Kluyveromyces lactis: one gene and its partners. The main gene of each other region encodes a partner of the protein of the gene in region 5 in a complex. Links are inferred from orthologs where the notes say so. Each region holds a gene or a part of one and is shown on either strand. Other genes may lie near its edges.

Region 1 (2,636 bases), on a different chromosome or scaffold from region 5:
AAGGGTTGCAACTGTATCATTTACTTAAAAAGAAGGGTATCCCAGTGACAATGATTGTAGATAATGCTGTTGGTACGATCATCCATAAGGTAAACAAGATCTTTGTGGGAGCCGAAGGTGTTGCTGAATCTGGAGGTATTATCAATCTAGTAGGAACGTATTCTATCGGTGTCTTGGCGAAGAATGCAAGGAAACCATTCTATGTGGTTAGTGAGTCGCATAAGTTCGTACGTATGTTCCCTCTTTCGTCAGATGATATTCCAATGGAAAGAGATCCATTAGATTTTAGCAAAAACGGTATAGAAGACGATGAAGAACCATTGAGTGGGCCTTCTGTCGACTTTACAAGTCAAGAATACATCACAGCTTTGATCACTGATCTTGGAGGGTTGACACCTAGTGCTGTTTCTGAGGAGTTGATTAAGATGTGGTATGATTAAGGAGAATTTGATCCCTTCTCGGTTTAATATATATTTATACTTACTAAATACGATAATTAATTAAAATAGTTTTGATAGATACACAGCGTCGTTGTCCATTGGTTTTAATGGTACAGTACTTTTTTCACTTGTAACTTCTTCTACAAACGATTCGAAAGTATCGTCCTTCCATTCCAAAGGTTTGAATTCCTCTTCGTCTGCTACCTTATGAGCTAGCAATGCACCTCCTAGTCTATTTTGATTCGCTTCGCTGCTACTCTTCACTGACATTGTTATTACCTGGTTTTTCTTGGCAGTTGGATTCGCAGGTTTCGCCTTGGCATCCTCGTCCTTCTTAACCTGTTGATGCGAATCGATGTAACGGAAGTATGGTCTCATTTGGGCAACTTTCTCTACTGGTATTAAATATAGCTGTCCTTGTTTCATAACGCCTGCGTATTGCAACATGTCGTTGCTTACAGCCACACCTTTCAAAGTTTGAACGTCGACATTGTTCCAAGACTCAGCAGCTTTTTCTTTGTCGAAGAAGACCTGTGTATTCAATGGGATATCTATCTCCCAAACGCTTGATTCATCCTTATAGCGTACACCAGCAATTGGAGGATGTTCATCCATATTCTTCGCCAGTCTTTTAGGTTTGTTAGGAAACTGTAACACATGCAATGGACAAGGTCCAACCGTTAAATTAATGGGTATTTCATTCACTACTGGATCGTCTTCTTTAAGAATCTCTGATGATTGGAGCTTCTTATCGAGTTTACCGTTCCCATTCATCTCAGTATCACCGTCCTCATCGGTAACAAACAAACCATTAGACATTTTGAGACCACTGACACCCTCTTACAGATACCTGGATAGAAACAGGACAATAGTTGGTTGTACAAGTGGTTCAACACTCATTAGTTGTACTAATGAGTGAGCCTTCTCATCCGAAATGTCAAAATTTCAATCGATGCGATGAGCCGTGTCTTGTGATCATTGAAACAAGAAGAGAGAAGCGTCTGTAAAAGGATGGTTTATCACCTTCCAACTGGTTCCATACCGGCTGGGCGAGTATTTCATCACCACCTTATTAATATTTGTCATAAGCGACTTTTGTCTCTGTCCATCTGCCTTTCTACGTGTATATAATATGCTTTAACATTAAACTTCAGACAAGGTTTGTAGAATTGAATCAGTAATGAAACCAAAGAGATATCAATTTCAGCACATAACATGACCTGTACATAGCACGAACCACTACAGTGTCAAATGTCCAGTTCAAACGATCCTGATAGTCGCCAATCTAACTGTATTTTATCCAATTCTGTGAGTATTTACCTTTGTATTGCTTTTTCTTGACATCAAGCATAGAAAATTTTAATATGGAAGTAGGACTTAACTGTGCGATGAGCTGACATTAGATGAAGTGAAAGTCTCTGTACGTCGCTCAGCAGCCCATATCAACGATCATCAAGTAGGTAAAGATGAGTTTCAATGATGACGATGATGGAATGCTGTTAAATTTTACAACTGACGTTAGTGATGCTAGTGAAACAGTCAGTAGAGGTAAAATTACCGGTGGTAAATGGAAGGACAGGAGAAAGGCCAAAATGATGATGGAAGGTCGTAAACCGAGGGTCAGGGGTGAAAAGAGACCATTAGAATCTGATGGAGCACCAACTTTTGAAGAATTGGAAGCCTCCTCTTCGAATTCAACTTCGGCACAGGCACCTGTAGAACCTAAGAGATCAAGATTTGATAACAGTTCTAATGTAGAACAACCAGCTAGGGTAACGCAACCATTACAGCTAAACTCGCAAATCGTTTCCTCTTTGTTCACGTCCAGTAGAAATATTGACACAGTTACCAATAGTAATGCTCATGATGAAAAAGCCGAAGTGACTTATTCCAATGCACCATTGGTTGGTGACACCTTCGATTCGTTCGGTATCACTGACACGATGGTTTCACACTTAAACGTCAAGATGAAGATTTCTAAGCCAACTAAGATTCAGAAGTTGGTTATCCCACCATTCTTACAAGCACAAAACGACTTGTTTATTCATGCACAAACTGGTTCTGGTAAGACATTGGCGTTTTTATTACCAATTTTCCAAAGCATACTATCGTTGGGTCAAAATATCACAAGACAATCTGGATGTTTTGCACTTGTAGTTACACCAACAAGAGAATTGGCCAACCAAATTTATCAAG
Region 2 (2,180 bases), on a different chromosome or scaffold from region 5:
CTAGAGAAGATAAATTACTCCAAGTATTGAAGAACCCTGTTGAATGGGTTTGAATGCCTTTATTTATGTAACGTCTCATGTATTTAATTCTTAGTTTCTAATGATCTTAATTTCTTACGCTTCAAAAACCAAGTCGGTCGTTAGTACCATACAGCGTTGCACGAAATGGTTCTGTCAGGCCGTCGACAATACTTTTATTTTGTCTTGTTCAATCTATTTGTAGATTTATACATTATATTACACTTTGATTCAGAAGAAGTTTCATCAAACCCTAACAACTTCCTTTTGCGAGCCTAATGAAAGCGTGATCTACCTTTCATCATTTGAAAGATTAAGCATGCGTTTTTAGCTGGGCGAGAGACAAATGGCAGCGATTAAAGCCGAACATTTATCTTCTTGTCAGTTTTTTGCTCTAAGCGATGTAATAACTGCTAAGAAGATCTATAATATTTTGTTTGATGCGTATCGAAATCAAAGTAAATTTCAAAAATACACAATCTCTAGTTCTCTCTCCATTTATGACCACAGTTAACACATTTGTAGAAAGTTGTCATAGGTTCATCTGCAGATCTGATTTGCAACTGGAAGAAGTAAGCTCTTTCACCCGCACATTGGTCATGGTTCGGACATTGTGCTGCTGTCTGGTCAACATTATCCCATGCACCTTCTCCACCTAAGACATCATCAACTTCTTTCCTAGGGAGGTTCTTTCTATCGTATACCTCTATCCCATCAATTAAAAACTGGTATGGGCATGATCCGCATGCTAGTTTATACAGACCTGAATCAGCTTTTGATACCAACAACATGTTATTGCATAATGGGCAAAACGAAAGCATCCTACAACTTAATTCTCAATGTCAGACTCCTCAAACACGATACGTTAACGCACCGTTACCTGCCCATAAGCTCCTTCAACACGTTATCGCATACACTCTAAAATGAACCTCATCGCTATAATTATTGAGAGTAGGTTTTAATTCTTTCCTCATCTCATATAGAAATTTTTCAGAAAAAAAAAAGTAGAGCTTCATGCCTTTAACTTTGAATCGATATTTATGTTGACATTTAAGGTTTGTATGTCAAATATAGTGTATAGGGTTAATACCTGTGGGCGAGGTTTGATAGAAGAACAACTCCCACATTTATAAGTTAGTTTCCATTCTCTAGACTTTAGAGTATTTGATTATCTTGGAGCGGTTAAACCTTGAAAACATGACGAAGAAAGAGTGCAGTGATAATGAGGAAGAAGAAGAAGACATTGATATTGTAAATCACCAAGACATTTTCATATCACCTTCCAAAGTAAGATATCAGTCACCGAAGAAACTTAAAAGTTTTGATTTTCTTTCGCCTTCCAAAACGGTACGACCTAAGTCACCCAAACGATCGCTCACATTAGAGTCTGTTAGCATTGAGACTGAATATAAAGATGAAGAGAGTAGGAAGCACTCATCGACAGATACTGCAACTCCCAGGCGAAGGCAAAGGAAAACAACCAAGAGGGTGAAGTTGGAGGAAGATGATGCCATTGACTATGTGTCAGATACTAATGAATTGATACACAATGACGACGAATACGAGGATCTAAAAATTAAAATAGATTCTAATGAAAGCTCACCTAATAAGTCGCCTAGGAGAAAACTTACATTTAATGCAGAACCATCACCCCAAAGAAAGACTACCAGAAATACAGTTCAAAGGAATAAAATTATAGACGATGATCTTGCATACGACGATATCCAGCAGTATAAGCATCTGAAATTGAACTTGAACCCTAATTTCAAACCGACTAAGTTGCCAAAGAGCGATAATAATGACCAAACATCTGATGAACAATCTCAAATATATTTTTTCGATGGTTTCGAAGGTTTCATAGATCAGACCAAGATCCTAAAAACTGATAAAAGATCCAAGAACTCGATGTCCTCGGCACCAAGTATTTCCAGAGATGAATATAACATTCTTTCTCAACTTTCCAATGATATATTCCATCGTTCATCGACAAAGGCAGTACAAAAAATACATGAAACACTCTTTCAGCAGTTTACTTTCGAGTTACTGCAGGGATTTACGTTATTATTCTATGGTATCGGATCGAAGAAGAAATTCCTCGAATCATTTGCATTCAACTTTCTTTCTATGAAGATCGCCTTGTTGCAAAACCCGGATATTCAAAA
Region 3 (2,189 bases), on a different chromosome or scaffold from region 5:
CGCCAAAGAATCAAAAAAAATATGGATTGAACACTAATAACCCCTGTATATGGGTAACCTAACAAAATAGACCTTCTTCTATATTTATATATCTACTGCTAATATGCTCCTTCAACGCCCGTCTCGAATATTTTGCCATCAACTGGCAATGGCCGAACCCTATTTATTGAGGTCATTGGATCCTAACTTTTCTATTTTCGAGAAAAAAGACGGCTTTAACAGTTTCTATGGTATCTCCTCTTATACAAAGAAGCACAGAATTGAAGAATCCTCGAGCAAAAGAAAGAGCAACTTCGTTATGCTGTGGTGACTGGAAGTAAGAACAGTTTGAAGATAGGAAGCTAAGATGGAAAGTTAAAAATGCATTAATATATGAGGAGAGGTGTAAGTAAAGGCCGTAGCTTCCGGAGGAGTGAAGAACCAGAGCTTTGACCTGAAAGTCTATTATACAGTTGTCGGTTTTCTATTTTGACTATGATATATAGTACCCACAAGATTTCTTACTTACGACACAATAAGTAAGCGTTTTCTTGTTTCAAGTTGTTCAAAAGTCTATAATTTCCCTCAAGTCTCATCAACAAGCCACCAAATGAATAGTATACTGCAAGCAAATCCTTGTTACCCTTAACTTCTTCGAATTTGTAGGCAGTTCCGTACATGACATAGTCATAATCATCTGCAAGAGATCTGGTTCCAGCAGGTGGTGCTCTCCAAGAGGTACCCTGAGGTTCCTCCGATCCGTCAAGTTGGAGAGAAGTTGTGATCATGACTGCAAGTTGATCTTGAGTCTTTATTGGGAACAATTCACTGTTGATATCCAATGTTAACTTACAGGATTCTTGTGAAGTCGATTGAGCTTCAATACGAGAGACCTTGTTGTATCTTCCTGTGTCCACTTCTTGAACGGTGAAAACGTCATCAAATAGTGCCGATGACATGACGTGTGTTGGTAAATGAGAGTACTGTTGTGTTGGTTCTAGTTATTAAAGTCGGTGGGCCAGTAGGAACACAAATGAGAGACGAAAAAGAAGGGAACTTATCGGAGAGTCTGTAGTGGGTATGAAAGGTTTCAAACTAATAATTTCACTGCTGATATGAGACTATCTACAGTGAGCCGAATCGAAAGCGCATCACATGTATATGATTGTCTGTCTCTCAGTTGTTCCTTCAGGCGATGAGTTACAACGAAATTTTTCAAGATTTTTCTTGCCCATGAAAAAAATATGTGTCCGGGTAAAAGAAACAACTTCGGGTAACGCTAATCAATTTGCCATCCCTTAGAAGTCCGAAGAATCCAGGATACAGAGAGACGGTCCGCTCAACTCTGCAACTAGTTGAAACGCTTGTCGGAACAGTCTGGATGATTATAATACAAATGATGAATGAACCTACATGTTAGTTATACACTAGATAACAACTGTTGTAAAAAAAAGGGTAGCCAAAAAAAAAAAAAAATTACGAATCATGGGCAGTTGATAAGGCACGATAAATGGAAGTACCTAATCTTGGAATTTAGCTCTCCTAGATAGCTTTCAGAAACTGTATGATATATTCGGAAAAATATAGTGTTCGATTTAACTTTGTAGTGGAGTTAAAATGCGAGGGAAAATCGTAAGTCAAACCAAAAGAATTAAGGGAAAGACGAGTATGCTAAAGTCCATTCAATGGACAAATGAAAGTTTGAGCCGGAGAAGCAATAAGAAAATTAGAGATTAACTAATTAATTTAACTCTTAACTCTAACACTCTATTTCAACTGTGTTGTAGGTCTCTTAGCCTGGTAATCCTTGATGGCAGCCTTGATGGCATCTTCAGCCAACATAGAACAATGCAATTTAACCGGAGGTAAACTCAATTCTCTGGCGATTTCTGTATTTTTAATCTTTGCTGCATCTTCCAAGGTTTTCCCACGGACCAATTCGGTCATGTATGAAGAAGAAGCGATGGCAGACCCGCACCCGAACGTCTTGAACTTAACGTTTTCTATCACTCCTGTTTCGTCGTTAACTTGGATTTGCAATTTCATCACATCACCACAAGCTGGGGCACCGACAAGACCCGTTCCAACATTTGGCAAATTCTTGTCTAGAGACCCAACATTTCTTGGGTTTGTATAATGATCAATGACCTTTGGATGGTAAAATCTAGCAGAGGCCATGGAAGGACTAGAGCCGACGGTAGGAGCAGTTG
Region 4 (4,256 bases), on a different chromosome or scaffold from region 5:
CTGGTACTACACCTTGATCGTTGAAAGGAAGATCTTCTTGTTTTACGATGATACCACAGACACCCTTTTGACCATGTCTCGATGAGAATTTATCACCCAATTCAGGTCTTCTGTTTTGTCTCAATAGAACTTTGATCAAAGCCTGGTCATTATCAGAAACTGACATCATAACTTGATCAATATGAGAAGGTTCTGGAGCTCTATATACCACTGGAGTCTCCTTGTACTGAGCTTGTGTTTGAGTTAGAATGCTATCCGACGCATTAGTTGGAACAGATTTATTGACATAAATTTGTCCACTTTCAACCTTCATTCCAACTTCACCTAGCCCATCAGGGCCTAATGCTTGGTGTTGCCATATAGGCTCACCATTTTCATCAACTCTCATACCACCAATAATATCCTGAGTATGATTTGGATATCTCTTCAACACGGTGGTGTTCTTACGACGAGTTTCACAACGTCCAAAACCTCTGTCAATGGACGCTTTATTTAAAACTAACGCATCCTCGATATCATAACCGGAGTAGGACATAACTGCCACCGTAGCATTTTGACCTGCCGGAAGTTTATCGTAATCGATCAATTCAATCGTTTTGGTTTTCACCATAGGCTGTTGAGGGTATATCATTAGATACAATAAGGTGTCAATTCTTTTGAATTGATTGTATGCAATTGCACCAATAGCCTGCTTACCCATCGCACATTGATAAGTGTTACGTGGAGACTGATTATGGTGAGGATATGGAATCAAACCAGCAACTGCACCTAAGACAGTAAATGATTCAATTTCTAGATGCGTAATATTCTCAGATAGATCTTTTTCATATAATGCAATGAACGAGTCGTTTTCTTCATTAACGTCGAGATACTCGACTAAACCCAGTTTTAAGAAATCATCGAATTGTAATTTTCCAGCCAGAAGAGATCTTAAATGGTCTGCAGTAACAGAAGACTGCCCGTTCGAAACAATTATCAACGGCCTACAGATTCTTCCTCCATCAGTAGCAATATGAACTGCTTTTTGATGTGTATTGGTATATATAGAGATGAACTCTGACGCTCTACCAGTTCTTCTTAAACATCTGAATTGAGACACAAACTTTGTAGGAAATCTAGTTGTCCCTATGATTGTACCGTTTAAGTAGACACCATAATTTAAATGAATTGAAGCACTGTCAATTAAACTTATGTCTTCCACACCCAACAAGTAACAAATCCTCTTTATAGGCTCTTCTTCATCATCGGTGGTGATATGGGTCATTAATGCCAAATTTTTAACCAAACCACAGGCCTCACCTTCTGGAGTATCTGAGGTACATAACATACCAAATTGAGAAGGTTGTAGGGCTCTAGGACCTGAAACTTTTCTAGATTTCTCAAATTGAGAGGATATTCTTGTCATCATACCTAATGCTGAAATATAAGAAAGTCTGGATAAGACATGTGTAACACCTGCTCTTTCCATCTTGAAACGTTTCAAAGACCAGTTACCAGTTGAAATTGCACGATTCATACCTGTAGTAATGTTGTTGGAATGTACGTTAATGGTTAGTAAGGCATCATACATTTCAGCACGATTTGGTTTCTTTAAGACTTTATCGATGTTTGCCTTGAAATCATTATTGAACTTTTTGAATAAATCTTCAAATAACAATGACATCAATTGACCAGCCAATTCTAAACGCTTGTTACCAACATAATCTCTGTCATCAACCATCTTTGGGTTATCTATAGCCATTACGACTCTACGAGTCATCATTGCAATGTATAATGCTTTTTCTCTAAAGTCTAAAGCTTCCACTGTCAGATGAGCAATGACTGTCGTAGCGATGGCCTCGATACCTTCTTGCAAGATGGAAAGTTTCTGTCTTCTGACAGTTTTAACTTTAGTACCAATGAATTCTAAGGCTTGTTGTTGCGTGTATATTTTTAGTTCGGCAGCTTCTTCGAGATTCACCGCGAAGATATCTTGATAACTGCTATCATTACCACAAACTAACTGCATGATTTCTAAATCAGATACAACACCACAAGCCTTCAAAACAACTACAATTGGAACCTCTTCTGCGATAGAGTTATGTTTTAAGTATATTTTATCATTCTTGGTGACTACGTAAGTCTTAGATTTTCTTTCGTGGGTGGAAGATGTAACAGAAGCTTGTACGATGTTTTTCTTCTCATCTGCTTCCACAATGATACGATTCTTAGATAATTGTTCTTGAACTAAGATGACTTTTTCAGTACCATTAACAATGAAATATCCACCTGGATCTAAGGGACATTCATTTAATTTGGCCATATCATTTTCTGCTGCACCATCTAATATACATTTGTTTGATCTCAACATTATGGGCATTCTACCGATCTCCACATCTCTATGCAACACAATTGATCTTCCTCTGGTGTATTCAATATCAACAAAGATAGGAGTACTGTATGTCATGTCTCGTAATCTACATTCATGTGGTGGGGTCATAATAGCTTTGTTGCCGTTATGTTTGTATCCTACTCTAATGTCAATGTACTTCAAGTAAAACTCTGGATCGACATCAGATAATATAACCTCATTAGCTTTGATGATCTTCTTCAAATCAACATCCACAAAGTAATTAAAAGAGTCCAAATGCTGCTTTACTAACCCTTTCACCTTTAAAAAGGCAGGCAAAAGATTCCATTTATCTTCGGCAGTGTTGATCTCGTCAGTCAGCTTTTTACCTTTGAAGACGGGTTTCAAAAGAGCATCGAACGCTTCATCTTTTTCATAGCCATCAGGATTATGGGAGTCAGTGTGGTTCATTTTAGAGAATATTCAATCAGGATATTTGAAAGCTACCCTTTCCAAACTTAATTAGTGTTCCAAACAGTTAATCAAACAAAATATCTAGAAAAGAGGCAAAAAGACCAAACAAAGCTACTCTACTGAAAGTGAAAAAAGAAGGAGCCAACCAGTAAATTTCACTTAATCAAATCTTTGTTGAGGTCAGCAAATCAGTACAGTCACTAACTGCCAATAAATGCACTTCTCTTTGTTTCCATCAATATTGACAGAGCTCATCTACATTAATCATTGGCGTATTTCGATTATTTCAAATTCGAGATGAGCTTGATTTGATCTTTTTCATTTTCCAAAATTGATCTGACAGAGTGAAAAGAAATTTCTTCTGTCATCAACAAATTTTCAGTCACGTGCAAGATACATTTCTTCGTGTTACATGATATATATACACGTGACATATATTTTACTTTCAATATGCGAATGTCTGGATTTGACATGGTATCAACCTTAAGTACTATTGATTCAGATGAGCTTTTCCAAATCGGATATCATGGATGCATTGCATCGTTCGAATGCAGCAAATCGTATTAGGCTGAAATAACATTATCGATTGACGTGACCAAATTGTTGATCTCCTCACTTGGTTCTAATCTCTTGCTATTTCAAGAGGCCTTGAGCTGCATATTTTCAATACTATGAGTCTGAATCTTTTCAAGACCACCGTTAATGACTACCTAGAAGGTCTTCCAGAGCAAGTCCAATCAAGATTATATGAGTCTCCAGCGACATGTTTGGCAATTTATAGATTGCTTTCTCCCATGGCAAAATTCTTCATTATGTCGATGCTGTTTCAGGACCACGATGTCTCGCTTAGAGATTTAGATAAATGGGTCAAGCCAGATGCGAAATACCAGTTACAATACTCTATTAAATCGATGAAATCCTTGAATCTTATAATAGAAGGTGAGAGTAAACAACCTCTATTGATTCGTTTGAATCCAATTTTCAAGAAATCTTTCAAAAATGTATTAACTGGTGGTGAAATCAATAACTCTTTTGGTGATGTTGCGGATGATGATACCAATCCCGTATCTACAGCTACTTTGGACCAGTATAGTGCAGAAAAGTGGGAAACAATCTTGCATTACATGGTGGGAACACCGAATACAAACACTCCTGGTGGAAAGGTTCTAGACTTATTGCAGCATAGTGGTCTAATGGAAGAGGCAGAATATGGCGAACTCAAAATTACTAACCAAGGTTTCCAATTTCTCTTGCAAGATGTCAATGCACAGATGTGGACTCTTCTTCTTCAATATTTGAAGATGGCAGAAAGTTTACAGATGGATCCCGTGGATGTTCTAAATTTCATTTTCATGCTAGGTGCATTACAGCTAGGGAAGGCGTATAAGTGCGATCAACTAAGTAATACGCAGAGAACAATGTTACAGGATATGAGAGATTACGGATTAATCTA
Region 5 (3,071 bases):
TCTACAGCAGATGAGTGCACACCAAACACTCTTGATAGAAATGTGTTCTTGGATCCACCATTTACTTTATCCTGACTATCCGTCATAACTCAGACTTCCAAAATTTTATTGATCCAAACTTTTCAAGTTGATTCAATCAACTGACTAAATACCGTGAGAGGTAAGGTTATGGTTGTAGTGTCCTTTCGATTATACCTTGTTTTGTGTTTGTTGAAGTCATTTTTAAGGGAATCCTTGTATACATGAACAAGTTTTGTAATGGAGCCCTGCATATCCAAACATCAACTCGTACTTAATGACTATTCTGATTTCAGGAATTATAACCTGAAAAGGCGATGCATCTTTATTAGGTTACTATGCAGTAGCTGCTGATTGTGTTCGCAGTGGTATTTGAATCTCCCATTCTTGATGTAGTTGTCTACATTAAATTAATGTTATCATACGAATTGATTTGCTGAGCTTTTTCTTCAACTATCATGTACATGCAGAAATCTATATAATTAGATATGTGGTGTTACAATCGCTCTTCCGTCGATTTGGCCTAGTAGCTCCGCTTCTTCTCCCTCCAAATCTAGTGTAACCACGTCTTGCAAAAATGTAGACTCTGCGCCCCTGCTGATATCCATTACGACGTCCCCGATCTTGATTGACATTTTGCCGGATCGATGCATTCTAATTGAACCAACGTTTCCGATCAAAGGCTCAGGTGAATCTATTTGTGTTTCTTTGCTGTTTTTACTATTTGATTGTTCACTTCCTTCATCTACTTTTGCTTCACCATTTGGCTTTACATCTTCTTCGGTGGATTTCACTGGGGGTTGTGGCTGAAATTCAGGTAGATTTGATGGGAACTGGAAGAACATAAACTTATTTGGAACGTCGTTAATCTTGTTTAACTTTTTGTACATATGTTTATGATCCTCAAATAACAAATTTGTTTCCCTGAGAGCTTCTGCGCTGTCAACAGATTGGAAATCTTGTTGAAGTTGAAGCAAACGCAGTTTTTCTTTTAACTGCTGTTCCTTCTCGTTCACTATGTCATTTAAAGTACCATCCGATTGTTCTGGTTCTAGCTTCACAGGTCCTGGTGTTGGTTCCCTGGTCTGCAAAGTTGACATGGATTCCTGGACAACTTTCTGTAGAGAATCCACCTTTTCGTGATTGATACGAACTGCCCTGACAGGGAAAAGATTGGCCAATTGTTTAGAGGCTCTGGTCTCTTCACTCATGGCTGCATCAGTATTAGAATCCTCATCTTCATCAAACAGATCGTCAGTTTCCTTCTTGAAGTCTGCCTCTGTATACTCTTTCCCCATGTTAATTCTCTTCCCAGCTTTTGAATCTTCTGCGTCCGATCCCTCTGCTTCATCATCAGAAACAGCTTTCAAACCGCGTTGCACAAGACTGCTTTGAGAACCCTCCGTCTTAATGAATCCATTATTCCCTTTATTAGATCCTCCAGAGAAATTACCAGCTGCCAATGGGCCTGATGTGATAATTCTTGTGTTGTTTAAATACTTCGGCTGCCTCTTCTGGTTGCCCTGTGGTTTCTGTGTATATTTCTTCTTCTCAACCTGTTTATTCGGCTCTTCTACCTTCAGAACGTTAGCATCTCGTTCCTCCTTAGATTTACGAGCTACCACTTTGGGCTTAAACTTCAGCGAGGTTCCGGTTGATGGTTTCCCCTGGTTCAATCCAGGTAAACGTCCACTCATCTTTAGTTGATTCCTATCACAATTTGATGCAAATAACTTCTTGACTCAAGCGTTTAATACTGCGATTCTCGACCGTTTCTTCGTTCAACAGCAAATCCTAATATGAAAACGAAGACTAGTTACTGGATACTAACCCTTGCATTGACTATTTGCGCATCAACTTTGCTCATCTCATTGTGATCTCTTCCAGTAGTAGTGCAGCTTTCAATTTTGGTGAAAAATCTTGAAAAAGCAATGTTGGAAAATTTTGTTTAAAGTTAAAGCTCATCTCATCTCATCTCAATTCAGAGAATAGGTATAACTAAGAGAATGACAAGCTGCATAACAGGTAACTACTATCAGCCGCTGTAATCGACTGTATATTGAGTTGGACTTAAATTGTACTGGACATTGTACTTCAAATATGGCAAAGAGAGGTGCAAAGGTCTCAAAAAGAGGGTCTAATCGTAGACAAGACCAGGAAGAAGATGTTGCCTATGGCATGAATGAGGTCGATGACTTTGCAAACAAGAGAGAAAAAGTGCTACTTGAGGACGCAGGTCTTGATCAAAGGGAACCAGAAGATGATTTTGATCTTTCAGTGGATGAAGAAGAAGAAGTGATGGGAATGTCAGATGAAGATAGTGAGGATGAAAGTGAAGAAGTTGAAGATGATGAAAGTGAACAAGAAGAATTAACAGGTGAAGCTGTGTATAAGAAGGTTTTTGGTAGGAAATTAGACGTTGGTGAGAATGCAGAAGAAGAGAGTGGTACTATGCTGGACAATGAGAACGCATGGGGTGCTTCTAAGGCAGAATACTACGGTGCCGATGACTTGGACGATGAAGAGACTGCAAGAGAGATAGAAAAGGAAGCTTTGCGCCAACAGAAGAAACATTTGGAAGACCTTCATATGGAAGACTATCTTGAGGATGAAGTTGATGAAGAATGGGTAAAAGAAGCTAAGGAATTCGATTTAGGTCAATTTAAAGATCAAAAGGATCAAGAACGTCCTACTGAAATCTCCCTTAGGGATGTTCTCAACATGGACTTAGAGAGAAAGGAAGGTTTCTTGAAGACATCCTTCCCAGAATACCTTCCTTTATCAAAGGAATTCAGTAAATTATCACCCGTTTTAGACGAGCTGAAACTCAAACAAACTGAGGAGAATAATGAATTGATTCAGATCAAAATTATGGCATTATCTTCATATCTTGGAACAATTAGTTCATATTTTGCAGTTTTCTTATATGAATTACAGAATAACGAAGATTTCATTTCTATGAAAGATCATCCGGTAATGGAGCGTATTTTGGAGTGTAAAGAAATTTGGAGACAAGCTAGCGAACTACCGGACACAGAAGCAATACGCTTTGA
Region 6 (2,835 bases), on a different chromosome or scaffold from region 5:
TATTACATTCTCTTTTCAAAGATGGTGCATATTTCCAGAAACTGAAGTTTGAAATTAATGAAATTTTGTCTGCCGGTATAAACGAAGAATTAAGAATTCCACAAGCATACAAAGCGGCAACTTTCTTGCAGCAACTCTCAATTTTGAGTTCAAGAACGTTCAAAAATGTCTGCAGGAATCCAAAGCTATTGTTAGGTAACTACGTCTTGACGGTAGCTTTGGGTTTATTCCTGGGTATCCTATACTATAATGTTGAAAACGATATCAGTGGATTCCAAAACAGACTAGGCCTTTTCTTCTTTATTTTAACGTATTTCGGTTTCCTGACATTCACTGGGTTAAGCTCCTTCTCTTTGGAAAGATTGATTTTTATCAAGGAACGTTCCAATCATTACTATTCTCCGCTAGCGTATTACATTTCAAAAATACTATCTGATATTATTCCATTACGTGTGGTACCACCTATCCTACTTGGGTTAATACTTTATCCTTTGGTTGGTTTAAATATGAATGATAATGGGTTCTTCAAATTTGAAGGTATTCTAATCTTATTCAACCTTGCCATCTCACTGGAGATTTTGACAGTTGGTATCATTTTTGAAGACTTGAATAACTCGATTATAATCAGTGTTTTGATAATCCTTGGTTCTTTGTTATTCAGTGGATTATTCATCAACACTAAGGATATTAACAATATTCTGTTCAAATATTTGAAGAACCTTTCAGTGTTCTATTACGCCTACGAATCTTTGATTATCAATGAAGTCAAGTCTTTGGTTCTTAGAGAGAAGAAGTATGGTCTCAATATTGAAATCCCAGGTGCCACTATCCTAAGCACATTCGGTTTCATCGTACAAAACCTAGTGTTCGATGTCAAAATACTAGCGCTATTCAATGTCATATTCCTAATATTCGGCTATTTCGCTCTTAAGTTGATAGTTATTGAGCAAAAGTGATCAAAAAATCATGGAGCTTATAAAAAGAGTGACGAACAGCCACTCAAACACAAAATTAGAATCTATTTAATACTGAAAGTTCATATATATTCAAAAGAATACAACTCTTATTACCGTAAGCCTAGTACAGGGAAGTTCATTTATTGATAGAAGTACTTTCATGTATCGGATCTCTTTATGTTCTCCATTGACTATATTGTGTGTATAACTTCCATCTGTTTGCCGCTTTTCTTTTGGAATGGATTCAAAAAAAAAAAACTGATCAAAGCTCAAAATAATAGCACGCGATGAGAAGAGGAATGGTTCAACTTATCGAACTAATAATTGATGAAAGAGTCAGACGCCTGACAAATTTACAAACTGATCTATTGAACCATTATTTAGGCCTACCTCTATTATTGTTAGGAACGCAAACGGTGTATTTTCCTTCGAAACCGATAATGAATTCGTTATTTAATTCAACAATAAAGCTCTCTGATCCAGCCAGAGAGCTGCATGAGAAGATGTGTTCTCAAGAAACTGGTAAATTGTTCTCTCAAAAAGAGTTAACTTCCATGTTAGACAACTGCTCGTTAAGTGATTTAATGCAATATGTTCAGGAACTTTTGGATAAGAATCTATTGAAGTTAGTGAAACAGAATAAAGAACTTAAGTTCCAAGCAGTAGATGCAGCTGAAGCAGAAAAGAAAAGCGGGATGAGCTCAGATGAGGCTCTTGTCTACTCATACATCGAAGCTAGTGGAAGAGAGGGTATATGGACGAAAACGATCAAGGCGAAGACAAATTTACACCAACATGTGGTTCTGAAATGTTTAAAATCACTTGAATCACAGAGGTACGTAAAGAGTGTAAAGAGTGTCAAATACCCAACCAGAAAGATATACATGCTTTACAATTTGCAACCATCCATTGACGTAACAGGTGGTCCGTGGTTCACAGATAGTGAATTGGACGTTGAGTTTATAAACAGTCTTCTGACCATCGTTTGGAGATTCACAGCGGAAAGAACATATCCAAATGGTTTTAACAACTTTTCCGACGAAAACGGTAGAGACGCACTCTATTCCAGTAACGTCAAAAGTTACACCACGATCGAAGAGATCCTTGAATTTATTTCTGAATCAGGAATATCTACAGAACAACTAACGAAACCAGATATTAGATCACTGTGCGAAGTTCTTGTATATGACGATAAGTTGGAGAAAGTATCTTTTGATTGCTTCAGAGTAACGTTGCAAAGTGTCTTACAGATGACTCAACCTGTTGGGGGACAACAAAGTTCGAAAAGAGAAGAATATTCTATATTCAGTCACGGAAATTCCATGGCAGCTTCCAGTTCAGATAAAGATGTCCTATACTTTGACGAATGGACGCTGTGAAGTTTAGATGCAAAGGTAATTTAGTCATAAAAAGAGTGTTCGTAATTGATGTATGTATATATGCCAAGAACTAATTACAAACTAATAATAAAAGCGTTCAACTTATGAGTCTGTTTTTTCTTTCTCAGTGGTTCACTGTGAAGGAGGGTATAACTCATTGAACACTTCTCCCACCATGTTGTTCATGTCAGTAGTTTGCAATTGTCTGCCTACCTTATCATAAGCAGCCCTGCTAGCCATTCTTGTTGCAGTAGATCCGATGAAACAAGATAGCATAGCCATTTTGGACCAAGGAAGATTTTCTCCGTTACCTTCTTCTACTATTGTTTCCAATTTGAAATCATGCACTGCACGAGAGAAACCAAACATGGTTGCGATTATACCGGTCAGTGTGTCACCCTGACCACCACATCTTTTCATAGATCCCTGAACGTCGTTTTCCCAACGTTCACCTTGAGAATTAACGATAATGTCATTTTGTCCCTTTGCAACAGTGATAC
Region 7 (2,417 bases), on a different chromosome or scaffold from region 5:
TGTATCCAAAGAACGCACAGCGACAGAAACTTGTTCCTGGGCTTGCTTGATACGACGCACTACCTCGTTATGCTTCACTTTGCAAAAAGTGTACACTTTATCCAATTCAATTTCCAAGGACTCCAAAAACTGAGTCTCCAAATCCTCGTTCCATTTTCCGTTGTTAGCTTCCAAGGATTCCTGTAACTCCGTCTTCAAGTCATTGTAACTGATATAGTAATAACTGTACTCACGAATCAAAGATCGCTTCAAATGTTCACCAAATTTTACCATCGTTATCAGTATCAGCTATTTCAAAGGTCCTGATGCAAGTCTAACCCACTCAGAAGCCCTGATAACTACTTTATTCTAGGGTATCCCTTTTTTCCCTTATACTGTCACTTGGAAACATTGAAACTCATGTTCCTGATCTTTTTTCTCATTGTATTTCGGTCTGTTATATGTGATTTTTTTCTCCAAGCATTTAAACATTATAGATATTGTATTATGGTGTATAATAATTAGAGGCACGTGCGGGAGATGCATTCGAGAAGCGAGGTCACCTGACCTTCGTCAAGTCTTGATTCGCACTCTTCGACTATGCTATACAAATGGACCAAGTTTGTTGGTAATTGGTTCACTATTTGTAGTTTTTCTGCTTTGTATAGTGGGAAAGCATTTAATTCTTGCATTAGTGTTGAGAATTGGTCTGTAGTTAGGTTCAGCAGTGTGGATTTGTTGGCGTTATTGGGTACGGTCTTGTCCGACGTTTCTGGTTCTTCTGGGTCTTCTGCTGTAGTGGAACGCTGTGTTATGTACCTTACCGTGTCTCTGGTTATCGTTTGCAGTTCTGGATGGTAGTATGGTTTGTTGTGTTTCCTGTCTGATTTTGATCCAGAGGTCCATCGGTGTTGATTCTGTAATGATATGAGGAACTGCAAAGTTTCGTAGTCGCTCATAAAAGCGTTTTTTTCCTCAAGCACGCGCATTTTCTTGGAATTTTGTTATATGAGAAGCTTTTTACTTGGATAATTCAGTATAGGCCGATACAGTCTTTATTACTTGCTACTCTTTGATCTCAACTCAGCTCATCTCTTCTCTTTGCATGGCTTTCAATATATTCGAAGCGGTGAAAAATAATCCCGTGTATCATGATTTAGATGAACGAAACAAGTGCTCAGGGTATACGTATCCTGCTTTGTGCATACCAGTTGCATGGCTGATGCTGGTACCATAGCGATTAAGATGCACCTATTAAAATTCAACGAGGTTAGTTTATATTACAAAATGACTATTTATTAGAGAAGTAGAAGTGCTGGAATGATAGCAAGCAATTGCGGTAAATTGAAAGCAGCAGCGTTTTCTGACTGTGTGGATGTTAAAGCAGCTGATGAGCTTGTCTCGCCAGTGGCATACGATGTGATCTCTTCGTCAGCAGCGGTGGTAGTGACCAAAGATGAGAAACCTGTGGTCACAAGTTCTTCCGTGGAAGTTATTAGAGATTCAGTTGTATTCAACTGAGTTGAAGAAGATGATAGGGAAGTGGAGGAAGATGTTGTGTTCAATGCAGTAATACTGGATGATGAAGCACTGGTAGATGAAGCACTAGTTGTGTTCAAGGTGCTTTCAGTGGAAGTAGTTGGAATTGTGGTACTAGATTTAGAAGTCGTAGTGGGGGAGGATGAGGATAAGGATGAGGATGATGATGATGCGGATGAGGATGAGGATGAAGATGAGGATGAGGAAGTGGATGAAGATTTGGATGTAGATGGAGATGCACTTGTCTTGGTTGAAGATGAAGATGTGGAGGATGAGGAGGATGAAGATGAAGTGTCGTCTGATACGCTTCCACCAGAAGCTAACTTATCGAAATCTGCTACTCCTTGATCATATCTACCATACACCTCACCATCATTAGCTTCAATAGATTCCCAAGTACCATCGGTGCCTGAGTATGAGTATTCTGTACCAGTGGAGTAATCAACAACGATAACGTCTTTCAAATACATGCTGAATGGAGCTTTGGTATAATCGGTCAAACCACCTGCCCATTCAATGGTTCCGGGCTCGTTTTGGGAATCACCACCAGCCCAAATACCTGTGAAAATACGCATTGGAGACTCTGGGTATCCTTGACCATTGTCACTGGTGATAGTCCTTACCAGTGCACTGTCGACATAGATATTGATTTCATCCTTAGTCCAATCAATGGTATAATTGTGGTAAGAACCTTGAGGATCGTCCACCGAATGGAAAGCACCACGGTCAAATGTAGTAGTTTCACCCTTGGAGAAGAAATTGGATTGAACTTGAGTAGTATCAGTACCAGTCCATTCGATATCAATTTCATCAAGATCATCACTTTGCAAATAGAATGAGGAAATAATACCTTGACCACCGGCAGCCTTGGCAATCGCTTGAACTTTACCAAACATAAT

What was found.
Region 1: the proteins of RPC53 (region 5) and RPC37 are in contact, whole or in part, in a cryo-EM structure (PDB 7Z0H), measured with the Saccharomyces cerevisiae proteins. The link is inferred for Kluyveromyces lactis from reciprocal best matches to the Saccharomyces cerevisiae genes RPC53 and RPC37. Residues at the interface, in NP_010131.1 of Saccharomyces cerevisiae: Arg195, Ile196, Gln198, Leu199, Phe200, Leu223, Ser224, Glu225, Lys226, Leu294, Lys295, Met297, Asn298, Asn299, Lys300, Pro301, Glu302, Arg303, Phe304, Met305, Val306, Phe307, Gln308, Leu309, Pro310, Thr311, Arg312, Leu313, Pro314, Ala315; in NP_012950.3 of Saccharomyces cerevisiae: Ile71, Glu72, Glu73, Phe74, Pro75, Leu76, Lys77, Ile78, Glu81, Glu83, Ser84, Leu85, His86, Val87, Phe88, Gln89, Tyr90, Ala91, Arg93, Pro94, Arg95, Leu96, Val97, Arg99, Ala102, His104, Tyr112, Trp119, Asp126, Gln128.
Region 2: RPC53 (region 5) and RPC11 share a complex: the UniProt entries of both Saccharomyces cerevisiae proteins name them as parts of the RNA polymerase III (Pol III) complex. The link is inferred for Kluyveromyces lactis from reciprocal best matches to the Saccharomyces cerevisiae genes RPC53 and RPC11.
Region 3: RPC53 (region 5) and RPB8 share a complex: the UniProt entries of both Saccharomyces cerevisiae proteins name them as parts of the RNA polymerase III (Pol III) complex. The link is inferred for Kluyveromyces lactis from reciprocal best matches to the Saccharomyces cerevisiae genes RPC53 and RPB8.
Region 4: RPC53 (region 5) and RET1 share a complex: the UniProt entries of both Saccharomyces cerevisiae proteins name them as parts of the RNA polymerase III (Pol III) complex. The link is inferred for Kluyveromyces lactis from reciprocal best matches to the Saccharomyces cerevisiae genes RPC53 and RET1.
Region 6: RPC53 (region 5) and RPC34 share a complex: the UniProt entries of both Saccharomyces cerevisiae proteins name them as parts of the RNA polymerase III (Pol III) complex. The link is inferred for Kluyveromyces lactis from reciprocal best matches to the Saccharomyces cerevisiae genes RPC53 and RPC34.
Region 7: RPC53 (region 5) and RPC17 share a complex: the UniProt entries of both Saccharomyces cerevisiae proteins name them as parts of the RNA polymerase III (Pol III) complex. The link is inferred for Kluyveromyces lactis from reciprocal best matches to the Saccharomyces cerevisiae genes RPC53 and RPC17.

The regions. Positions count from the first base shown.
Region 1 is NC_006042.1:1,291,499-1,294,134, reverse strand, and holds RPC37 (DNA-directed RNA polymerase III subunit C37), read right to left. Parts: upstream 1,260-2,636; coding exon 501-1,259; downstream 1-500. Other genes in the region: GCN3 (translation initiation factor eIF2B subunit alpha), read left to right, coding at 1-440; DBP7 (putative ATP-dependent RNA helicase), read left to right, coding at 1,907-2,636. UniProt on the Saccharomyces cerevisiae protein: DNA-dependent RNA polymerase catalyzes the transcription of DNA into RNA using the four ribonucleoside triphosphates as substrates. Specific peripheric component of RNA polymerase III which synthesizes small RNAs, such as 5S rRNA and tRNAs.
Region 2 is NC_006042.1:1,707,819-1,709,998, forward strand, and holds RPC11 (DNA-directed RNA polymerase III core subunit RPC11), read right to left. Parts: upstream 840-2,180; coding exon 501-839; downstream 1-500. Other genes in the region: HEM13 (coproporphyrinogen oxidase), read left to right, coding at 1-53; ORC2 (origin recognition complex subunit 2), read left to right, coding at 1,216-2,180. UniProt on the Saccharomyces cerevisiae protein: DNA-dependent RNA polymerase catalyzes the transcription of DNA into RNA using the four ribonucleoside triphosphates as substrates. Component of RNA polymerase III which synthesizes small RNAs, such as 5S rRNA and tRNAs.
Region 3 is NC_006040.1:610,602-612,790, forward strand, and holds RPB8 (DNA-directed RNA polymerase core subunit RPB8), read right to left. Parts: upstream 939-2,189; coding exon 501-938; downstream 1-500. Other genes in the region: putative iron-binding protein ISU2, read right to left, coding at 1,747-2,189. UniProt on the Saccharomyces cerevisiae protein: DNA-dependent RNA polymerases catalyze the transcription. of DNA into RNA using the four ribonucleoside triphosphates as substrates.
Region 4 is NC_006042.1:96,875-101,130, reverse strand, and holds the start of RET1 (DNA-directed RNA polymerase III core subunit RET1), read right to left. Parts: upstream 2,801-4,256; coding exon 1-2,800. Other genes in the region: TFIIH/NER complex subunit TFB2, read left to right, coding at 3,475-4,256. UniProt on the Saccharomyces cerevisiae protein: DNA-dependent RNA polymerase catalyzes the transcription of DNA into RNA using the four ribonucleoside triphosphates as substrates. Second largest core component of RNA polymerase III which synthesizes small RNAs, such as 5S rRNA and tRNAs.
Region 5 is NC_006039.1:1,432,947-1,436,017, forward strand, and holds RPC53 (DNA-directed RNA polymerase III subunit C53), read right to left. Parts: upstream 1,716-3,071; coding exon 501-1,715; downstream 1-500. Other genes in the region: autophagy protein ATG9, read right to left, coding at 1-86; rRNA-processing protein SAS10, read left to right, coding at 2,119-3,071. UniProt on the Saccharomyces cerevisiae protein: DNA-dependent RNA polymerase catalyzes the transcription of DNA into RNA using the four ribonucleoside triphosphates as substrates. Specific peripheric component of RNA polymerase III which synthesizes small RNAs, such as 5S rRNA and tRNAs.
Region 6 is NC_006040.1:383,854-386,688, reverse strand, and holds RPC34 (DNA-directed RNA polymerase III subunit C34), read left to right. Parts: upstream 1-1,243; coding exon 1,244-2,335; downstream 2,336-2,835. Other genes in the region: putative ATP-dependent permease ADP1, read left to right, coding at 1-956; NNR2 (NADHX dehydratase), read right to left, coding at 2,468-2,835. UniProt on the Saccharomyces cerevisiae protein: DNA-dependent RNA polymerase catalyzes the transcription of DNA into RNA using the four ribonucleoside triphosphates as substrates. Specific peripheric component of RNA polymerase III which synthesizes small RNAs, such as 5S rRNA and tRNAs.
Region 7 is NC_006042.1:2,114,253-2,116,669, forward strand, and holds RPC17 (DNA-directed RNA polymerase III subunit RPC17), read right to left. Parts: upstream 969-2,417; coding exon 501-968; downstream 1-500. Other genes in the region: VTC4 (Vtc4p), read right to left, coding at 1-273; CRH1 (transglycosylase), read right to left, coding at 1,278-2,417. UniProt on the Saccharomyces cerevisiae protein: DNA-dependent RNA polymerase catalyzes the transcription of DNA into RNA using the four ribonucleoside triphosphates as substrates. Specific peripheric component of RNA polymerase III which synthesizes small RNAs, such as 5S rRNA and tRNAs.